2 linked regions of the Oryctolagus cuniculus genome follow. The protein of the gene in region 2 purifies or fractionates together with the protein of the main gene of each other region. This does not show direct contact. Links are inferred from orthologs where the notes say so. Each region holds a gene or a part of one and is shown on either strand. Other genes may lie near its edges.

Region 1 (3,646 bases), on a different chromosome or scaffold from region 2:
AAGTCTGTTTAAGAGAAGCCGAATCCAGATGAGACACTAGCTGTGAGGTGATGGAGCACAGGCGGCTCGGGCCTCTGGAGCCGGGGGCGGAGTGGGGGTCAGGAGGGGACAGGCCCGCACCAGGTGCCGCCCAGACTGTTCCGAAAGGTTCCCGTGCAGGCACCGCCTGTGGTGTGCCGGGCACACTGTACCTTGAGCACCTTCTTCATGGTGGAGGAAGCAGCTGCTGTGGCTTCGCTTCCCTGGGTGCTCGAGACAGGCCTCAGCGCTGGCCAGGCCTCTGGGATGAGGGCTTCCAGTGTGCAGACGACGGGCCGGCACTGCTTGCTGAGGGCCACGCCTTTGGTGCAGGCGAGCGCCCCGGCGGCTGGGAAGGGGACAGCCCTGTCTGGGCCCTGGGCACGGCACGGCAGGAGCCGCTGCAGGAGAGCCGCCGCCACGTGGGTCACACCGCCTGCTCCGGCCTGCTCTGTTCCTCCTCCTCCGGCTGTAACCAGCTCCAGTCAAGAGTCTGAAAGGCAACAGGCCTGTTACCCGCTCGGCCGCCAGCGAGACCACCGAGGACGCAGCCAGCACAGGGCGGGAGTACACCTAAACCCTTGTGCTGGCAACACTCCTGTGACGGCAGGGACCCCGAGCTAGGCCATACAGGGCTGTTCTCTGGACGAGCTCAGAGGCCCCACAATTCTGTGCTACAGAAACTGGGAAGGTGATGCCGCACTACTTGCAGCTCACAGCCCTGATTTTGACGCTCTCTGCAGGGCCGGCCCAAGCGGCCTGAGGAGACGTCCTCTGGCGAAGAGCAGGTGAGCTGTTCAGCCCCAGGAGCAGTGCAGCGAGAGACACAGCAAGCCCAGGAACCGGAGAGGACACCTCAACAGACCAGAGGTGACTGCTGCCGTCCTCTCGGACTCCTCGGAAAACGTACAACCCCTGCAGGAGGCTGGGAGGCGACTCAGAGGTCTACGAATGCCTCTGGGTCCTCGCGGCAAGTTCAGCTTTGTCGCACTGTCCTTACATCTTGTTTTTCTCCAGGTTAGTTCCCGGGACTAATACCGCCTGCCACTAAGCTCTGAGTGTCTGAGGGGTGGGACCACGACAGGCTCCTGCTTTGTCACTAGAGCTGAGCAGGGTCCCCACCACAGATGTTCAGCAGTGGCCCAAAGGCAGGGTGGGGCAAGCCTTCCGGGGATATACTCCCTTGCTCATCAGGACTCTGCGTCACGAGGATTAAGTAAGGTAACACTCACAACGTTCCTACACACATTCAGTAACAGCCGCCTATCAGTATGAACAGGACACGCATAGAGAACCACACACACACGCTGAGGTGGAGGGTGACCCAGCCGCCCCTCCCACTTTCTCTCCTGTGCCGTGGAGACAGGGCTTGGACAGCTGGGTTCGCACGGGCTGTTACCATGAAACTCTGGTCCTGCTCCTTCACGGTGTCCTGCATTGCGCTTTCCAGCTGGGTGCAGAGAGAATGCGCTTCAGCCACCAGGTCTTCACTAGAGAAAACGACCAAACTCTTAGGCAGTGGGCACTGTCAGTTAGCAGAGCTGACACTACTGTTTTAAATAGGCTAACAAGCTTTTGACAATAATTTAAAGATGACGCCCCAACTGTTTGACCCTGGGTGTCTGAGACCACCACCACGGCACTGGGTAGAGACCACATTGTCTCCTCAGGCACTGGTCAGGGGCCCAACGCAGCCATGAGCATCACCGGTCAAGACGCGAAGGAGCAAACAGATCTCTGATAAAAAGTCGGGAGGAAAGGAGCTCTTCCTGGGGCTGGTGCTGTGGCGCAGTGGGTTAACGCCCTGGCCTGCAGCGCCGGCCTCCCATATGGGCACTGGTTCTAGGCCCGGCTGCTCCTATTCTGATCCCGCTCTCTGCTATGGCCTGGGAAAGCAGTGGAAGATGGCCCAAGTGCTTGGGCCCCTGCATCTGCATGGGAGACCCCGAGGAGGCTCCTGGCTCCGGATCAGGTCATCTCCAGCCGTTGCGGTCATTTGGGGAGTGAATCAGCGGAATGGAAGACGTCTCTCTGTAACTTTTTCAAATAAATAAAGTAATTCTTAAAAAAAAAAAAAAAAGAGCTCTTTCTGACCTACCACATATTACAAGTTAACTCTCCAAACTGCCAGAGCCTAACGCTATCTCCCAAATCACCTGATTTCCAATTTCCTGAGACCTGCTGAAAACCAAGCTCTGGGACGTGATTCCGCCTGATGCGACCTCCCTGAGTAAGCTCAGGAACGGGCCCCAGCGGGAAGAGGAGAGTACAGGAAGTAATGCTTCCTTCTCAGACCATCGCCTCTGCACTCCCAGGCCTTTAGGGCCCTCAATGCTGAGTATGTCCTCACTCTGCCAAATACAGCATTCCAAGGAGCCTGGAGCGCGTCCGCTAAACGCCGTCCACAGGCCGCCAGCTCACAGCTCAGTGCCAGCTCCAGAGGGCAACAAGGGAGGCCACGCCCGCTTGCTCTTCCCCAGGGGCTCACAGAGGCCGAGGAGAGTAAGAACCTACGGTCACGTCAGGGCGGGCATTTGGCACCACGTTTACGGTACCACTTGGGACACTTGCTGTTACCGGCATTTGGGGAGTGAACCAGTGTGGGGAGATCTCTCTAGGTCTCTATGCCTTTCAAAAACAAAACCACAATCTGTCGTCCTGTAGGATTAAGTACCAAAACAGGCTACAAACACTCCAAGGACAGAAACAGATTTTTAAGAACAGCCTGAGATAATCATTTGTATACCACAAAGCTCACCTGCTTAAAATGTACAATTCAGTGGCTTTAGCATATTCACAAAATCACGCAGCTATCAGCATATCTTGTTTCAGGACATTTTCATCCTCCCTGAAGGAGACCTTCCGCCTATCATCAGGCACTGCCCACCACCCTCTCCGCCTGCCTGAGGGACTCGTTCATCTACTTCCTACTCCCAGAGATTCGCCTGCAGGAATAGATTTTAACGTCTCCAGCACCCAGTGTCTGGCATACAAGAGATGCCGAATGAAAGCCCCATAGGAAGAGAGCGCTAGCATGTGCCCGGGTGCCCAAGGCTTCCAGTGTGGTGGATGCAGAGAGACGCAGACGTGGCATGGTGAGGGGAGGGACACCTGTGGCTGAGCTGGAGTACTGCGTCCCAGGCTTCACGTGCGTCAGAATCGACCAGGGGGCGCACCAAACGCAGACTTGCTGGGCCTCAGCCAGAGCTTGTGATTCCAAGGAAGACTGGCTGGGCCTCAGCCAGGGCTTGTGATTCCAAGGAGCCCGGGTGGGATGGGAGAAGGGCCATTCCCACAGGACTGCGGGTCTGGGTGGGACTAAGAAGCGGACTAGCACAGGGGCGAGCAGAACGGTGCGCAGATCCACGTGGAGGTGGCCACCACCGCCCGAGGAAGTCCAGACCCGATCTCTGAGATGGGGAGGGGAGTGAGAATGAGCTGCTGCCCACGAGATGACTCGGCTGCGATTCGGGGAAGACTGATCTGGCAGGAGAGGGCTTGGCGGCAGCGAGGAACAGGAAGCCGGACATGGGGAGCCCTGCAGGGAGGGCCTGGCCCGTTCTGTCCACCTGCAGTGCGCTGGATCAGGCAGGGGGACCGAAGAGGGGACGAGAGGCACCGAGCAGCT
Region 2 (3,746 bases):
TCTCATCAAATAAGCACGATTTTCCAAGAGTTTAAATGAGAAATTGTTAGGCATTCACCTTACTGTCCTGGTTTGGCTACTTCTGACTTCTTTTTGTTACACACACACACACACACAAGCACACACTTTAAAGGGCACTCATTTGCTTCCAGTCAATGGTGGGAAAGACTGCTTCGGGACAAATTCTCAGGACTCTCAGCTCCTTAGGGATGGACTAACTGGCTGGTATTATTGACAAAAATGTCTTGAAGTTGGTAGAGTTTATGTTGGGAAATGAAGTTTATATTTAAAATTTTTATCTTTCCATTCCATTTTCCCTGAACTTCCTGAAGTCCCCTCATAGTCTCCTACTTTTAGGACATAGAAAACCTGACTCACATGTCCTTGCTGAGCCCCGTCGGGTGGGGTGCTCTAGGGAGTGTTTTGCACATGAGGGTGGAGACTGAGCCAGCTCAGGGAGCTGACCCTCAGAGTTCCCCAACAGGCAGACAAGTTCAGCCCCAGGAGCACCGCAAGTGGCCCAGTGCCACGGCTGGGTTTGTACCTCCCTCGGTCTCCCTCCAAAGCGCCTGGCACCTGTGCTGCCTTCCATGTTAGCCATCTTCACGTCCCCGCGCATTGCTGTGGTATCAGCCTGCTCCCAGCAGCTCTTCCGCATGATAAATCCCGTAGGGTTTAAACAACGAGGTTGTGGAAGATGCAGCCAGGGGCCCCAGGGCCTGAGCAGTGGGTTAGGCTGCTGCCAGTGATGCAGGCATCCCATATGACCACCAGTTCGCGTCCTGGCTGCTCCACTTCTGATCCAGCTCCCGGTTCATGTACCTGGGAAAGCAGTGGAAGATGGTCCAAGTACTTGGGGTTCCTGCCACCCACATGGAAGATCCTGATGGAGATCCAGTCTCCTGGCTTCAGCCTAGCGCAGTCCTGGCTGTTGCGGCCGTTTGGGGAAATAAATCAGCAGATGGAAGATAGAGAGCTCGCTCTCTGGCCTTCTCTCTGTAACTCTGCCTTTCAAACAAATAAATCTTTAAAAGAAAAAATGAAGAAAGAAGAAAAATGCCGCCAGGGGAGGACTCTGTGTGTGTGTGTGCCCGTGAGCAGTGTGGGAACACAGGCAGTGAGTCCCCCGTCCACGGTTATTGGAGCAAATGCTGGTGTTTTAAGCAGTCCCAGGAGACAGAAAGAAGCTCTAGCGACACACCCCTCCCCAGTATCTGCCCCATCTCCTCGGGTCCTGGAGACACCTTCTCAGGCCACGGCCCCTCCGTCACACCACGGGCCCCATATTCCTCCGCAGCCTCTTAGCTGGGTGGTGACATAAAAAAAAAAAAACACACACACACACCAAAAACGCAGCCTTATTGGCCACTGGCCCTCTCTAGTGAACGCAGGAGGTTTCTGTTTTAAGAAATAAAGTGACTCCTCGCCCGTTGATTCACTGCCCACAGGGAGATTTTGAGCCGAAGCTTCCTAGCCTCCGTAGAGATTTGCATACAACTTCCACTTCCGGCTTCAGATCCTGCTCTTCAACTTACCTGGGCCTGGGGAGGGCGGAGGGAGGCACCTGCCGCGGAGAACCTGGAGAGGCCGACGACCCTGGGGCCCCGGGCTGTCCGGCCGTGGCGGTTCTAAGGTAAGTTTACCCGGCTTTGCTGCGCGCCGGCCTGATTGCTTCACCACTGACCCATTTTCCAAAACGCTGTCTTTTCTCCTCTCTTGAAACGTTCCGCCTTCCTGGCCTCTGCCTACCGCCCCTGCCGGCCTTGAAACTTCACTTGTTCGTGCGGAGAGCGGCTGGGGCTGGGAAAATGACAGCTGACTCTGTGCTTCGGGAACGTGCCGCTGGTTTAGGGTTCCAGACGGGCCAGGCGCGATGAGCTGTTTGGGGGAGAGGAGGCACGCACGCCGGTACTTTTCAGAGCTGCCTGGGAACCATTTGTTTAGGTACTTGGTGTCCCCACAAGTTTCGAGCAAGAAATCAAGCCCCATTTCTCCGAGGAGGGAGCCAGGGATGGCAAGGATTAAGTCATTGGCTTCCAGCCTCAGAACACGTCAGCCAGCGGCAGCCTGGGAAGGAAAACTCCCAGATTTTCTCTATCCCAGTTTCCTGCGGGGGTGGGGGGGGTTTTAAAAAAAAATCAACATGACATTCTTGGGCCAGGAAGTTGCGAGCTGCCTCCCGGGCCTCTCCCCCGCAGCCCCCACCCGCCTCCCAAGCAGCGGTCCAGACCACTGCTGGCGCTAAAAGCAACCAGCGAAGGGGATAAATGCTAGTCCTTGACCTTAGAAGCTGATCAGGCTTCCTGGGAGTTTCAAGTTCAAGGTGGTCTTGTGGATTAGGAGGCTATTATTATTATTATTATTATTTTAAAGGAACTGGAGGAAAGAGGCCAAATAAATAATACAAAGGAAGACGAGAAAGTTGGTTTCAAGTTCTTGCTCCACTCCTTGGAGTGCCATGACTTAGGCAATTGATTTTGGCTCCTGGAGCCTGGATTTCTTCATAGTCAAGTGTTTGGGGGCAGGGCGGGTGGAGGGTGAACTCACCAGGTCTAAATTCTCTTCTAACAAAACAAGGGTAAGGTACTCCCGGAGGGGTAGCCGTAGTGGGTGGTCTTAGAAGATTGTTTTGTTCGCTGATAATTCACCTATATAAATTTTACGTCCTGCTACCAGTTCGTTAGCCCGTGGAGGAAAAGGACTTGGTTCCTTCGTACTTTTCTGCCCTCCCTGCACCCCTCCCCTCAAGCCAGCACCCATCAAAGGCCTCACAGGGGCTCTGCCTCCTCCTGACTTTCTGCTCTCCAGGCCAAAAGCTGGAGCGAGGCACGGGGGCCCAGGCAAGTCACCCGGGGCCCGGCTGCCTTGACTGTAGGCACCAGTGTTAGTTCTGGACAATAATGGAGAAAACCAGGGATTTCTTGAGTTAGTTCACATCCTATTTGGGTTACCCAGGAAGGAAGGATCGTCCCCACACATTTGCTACCAAAATCAACATGGGCCAGAGAACTGGCAGGCACCCCGGCTCCGGGAGCCAGCGTTGCCCGCTCCTCAGGAGCTGGAAACCACCCCTGCCCCAGCAGTCAGTGTGTGGGGGCCTTTAGCGGGATGGGAAGGAAACGGTGAGACACATGCTGACCCCTCGTGAGGGTGATGACTGTGACGAGATGCATCATTAGAGGGCGTGTACATGGACTTCTTAACCTTTTCCAAAGCACCACTGTGTTTTTTGCATGGCTGTTGCTTCCTTGGGATGATTACTCGCTGTCAGTCCAGGCTCTAGCTGATGGGTGGGGCTGGTGCAGGGCTTCAGAAAGGCTAACCTGTTTCTGTGGGGGGTATCAAGACCCTGCTGTGGCCTTTCTCTATCCCCCCACCACCATCCCGCGATGGGAGAAGCCAGCAATGGCAAGATATTTTCAATGCGATGAGTTCCTGGTTTTACTTTCAAGTAAGGACGCAGTATTTTCTGAAATCAGGCTAGTTGTTGGGTTGCCAGCCTAGCTTTGATCCACAAAAGCCACCCCAGTCTTTGTTCATGGGGGGAGAGGGGGGAGGTGGCATGGCACCGTTACTCTGCTGCGTGGGCTGCTGAGGCTGGGCATGGTACGCTCAAGTCGGGGAGAAAGATTCTTCACTCAGGGCTATGCATTTTCGGAGGGTGCTAAGATGGCAAGAGTTAATGGCTGCTTCTCCCAGGATCAAGGAGTTAGTGACTTTCAGATGCTCTGAAAATTAAAAGAGGA

Evidence for each region. The genes of interacting proteins can lie anywhere in the genome.
Region 1: the proteins of TRAF3IP2 (region 2) and IKBKB purify together in Homo sapiens (affinity purification with western blotting; 3 studies listed by BioGRID, with this or other methods). This does not show direct contact. The link is inferred for Oryctolagus cuniculus from reciprocal best matches to the Homo sapiens genes TRAF3IP2 and IKBKB.

The regions. Positions count from the first base shown.
Region 1 is NC_091433.1:92,513,590-92,517,235, reverse strand, and holds part of IKBKB (inhibitor of nuclear factor kappa-B kinase subunit beta), read right to left. Parts: intron 2,099-3,646; exon of another isoform or gene 1,509-2,098; coding exon 1,418-1,508; exon of another isoform or gene 762-1,417; intron 512-761; coding exon 446-511; 3' UTR 1-445.
Region 2 is NC_091436.1:59,983,954-59,987,699, forward strand, and holds the start of TRAF3IP2 (E3 ubiquitin ligase TRAF3IP2), read left to right. Parts: upstream 1-1,436; 5' UTR 1,437-1,633; intron 1,634-3,746. UniProt on the Homo sapiens protein: E3 ubiquitin ligase that catalyzes 'Lys-63'-linked polyubiquitination of target protein, enhancing protein-protein interaction and cell signaling. Transfers ubiquitin from E2 ubiquitin-conjugating enzyme UBE2V1-UBE2N to substrate protein.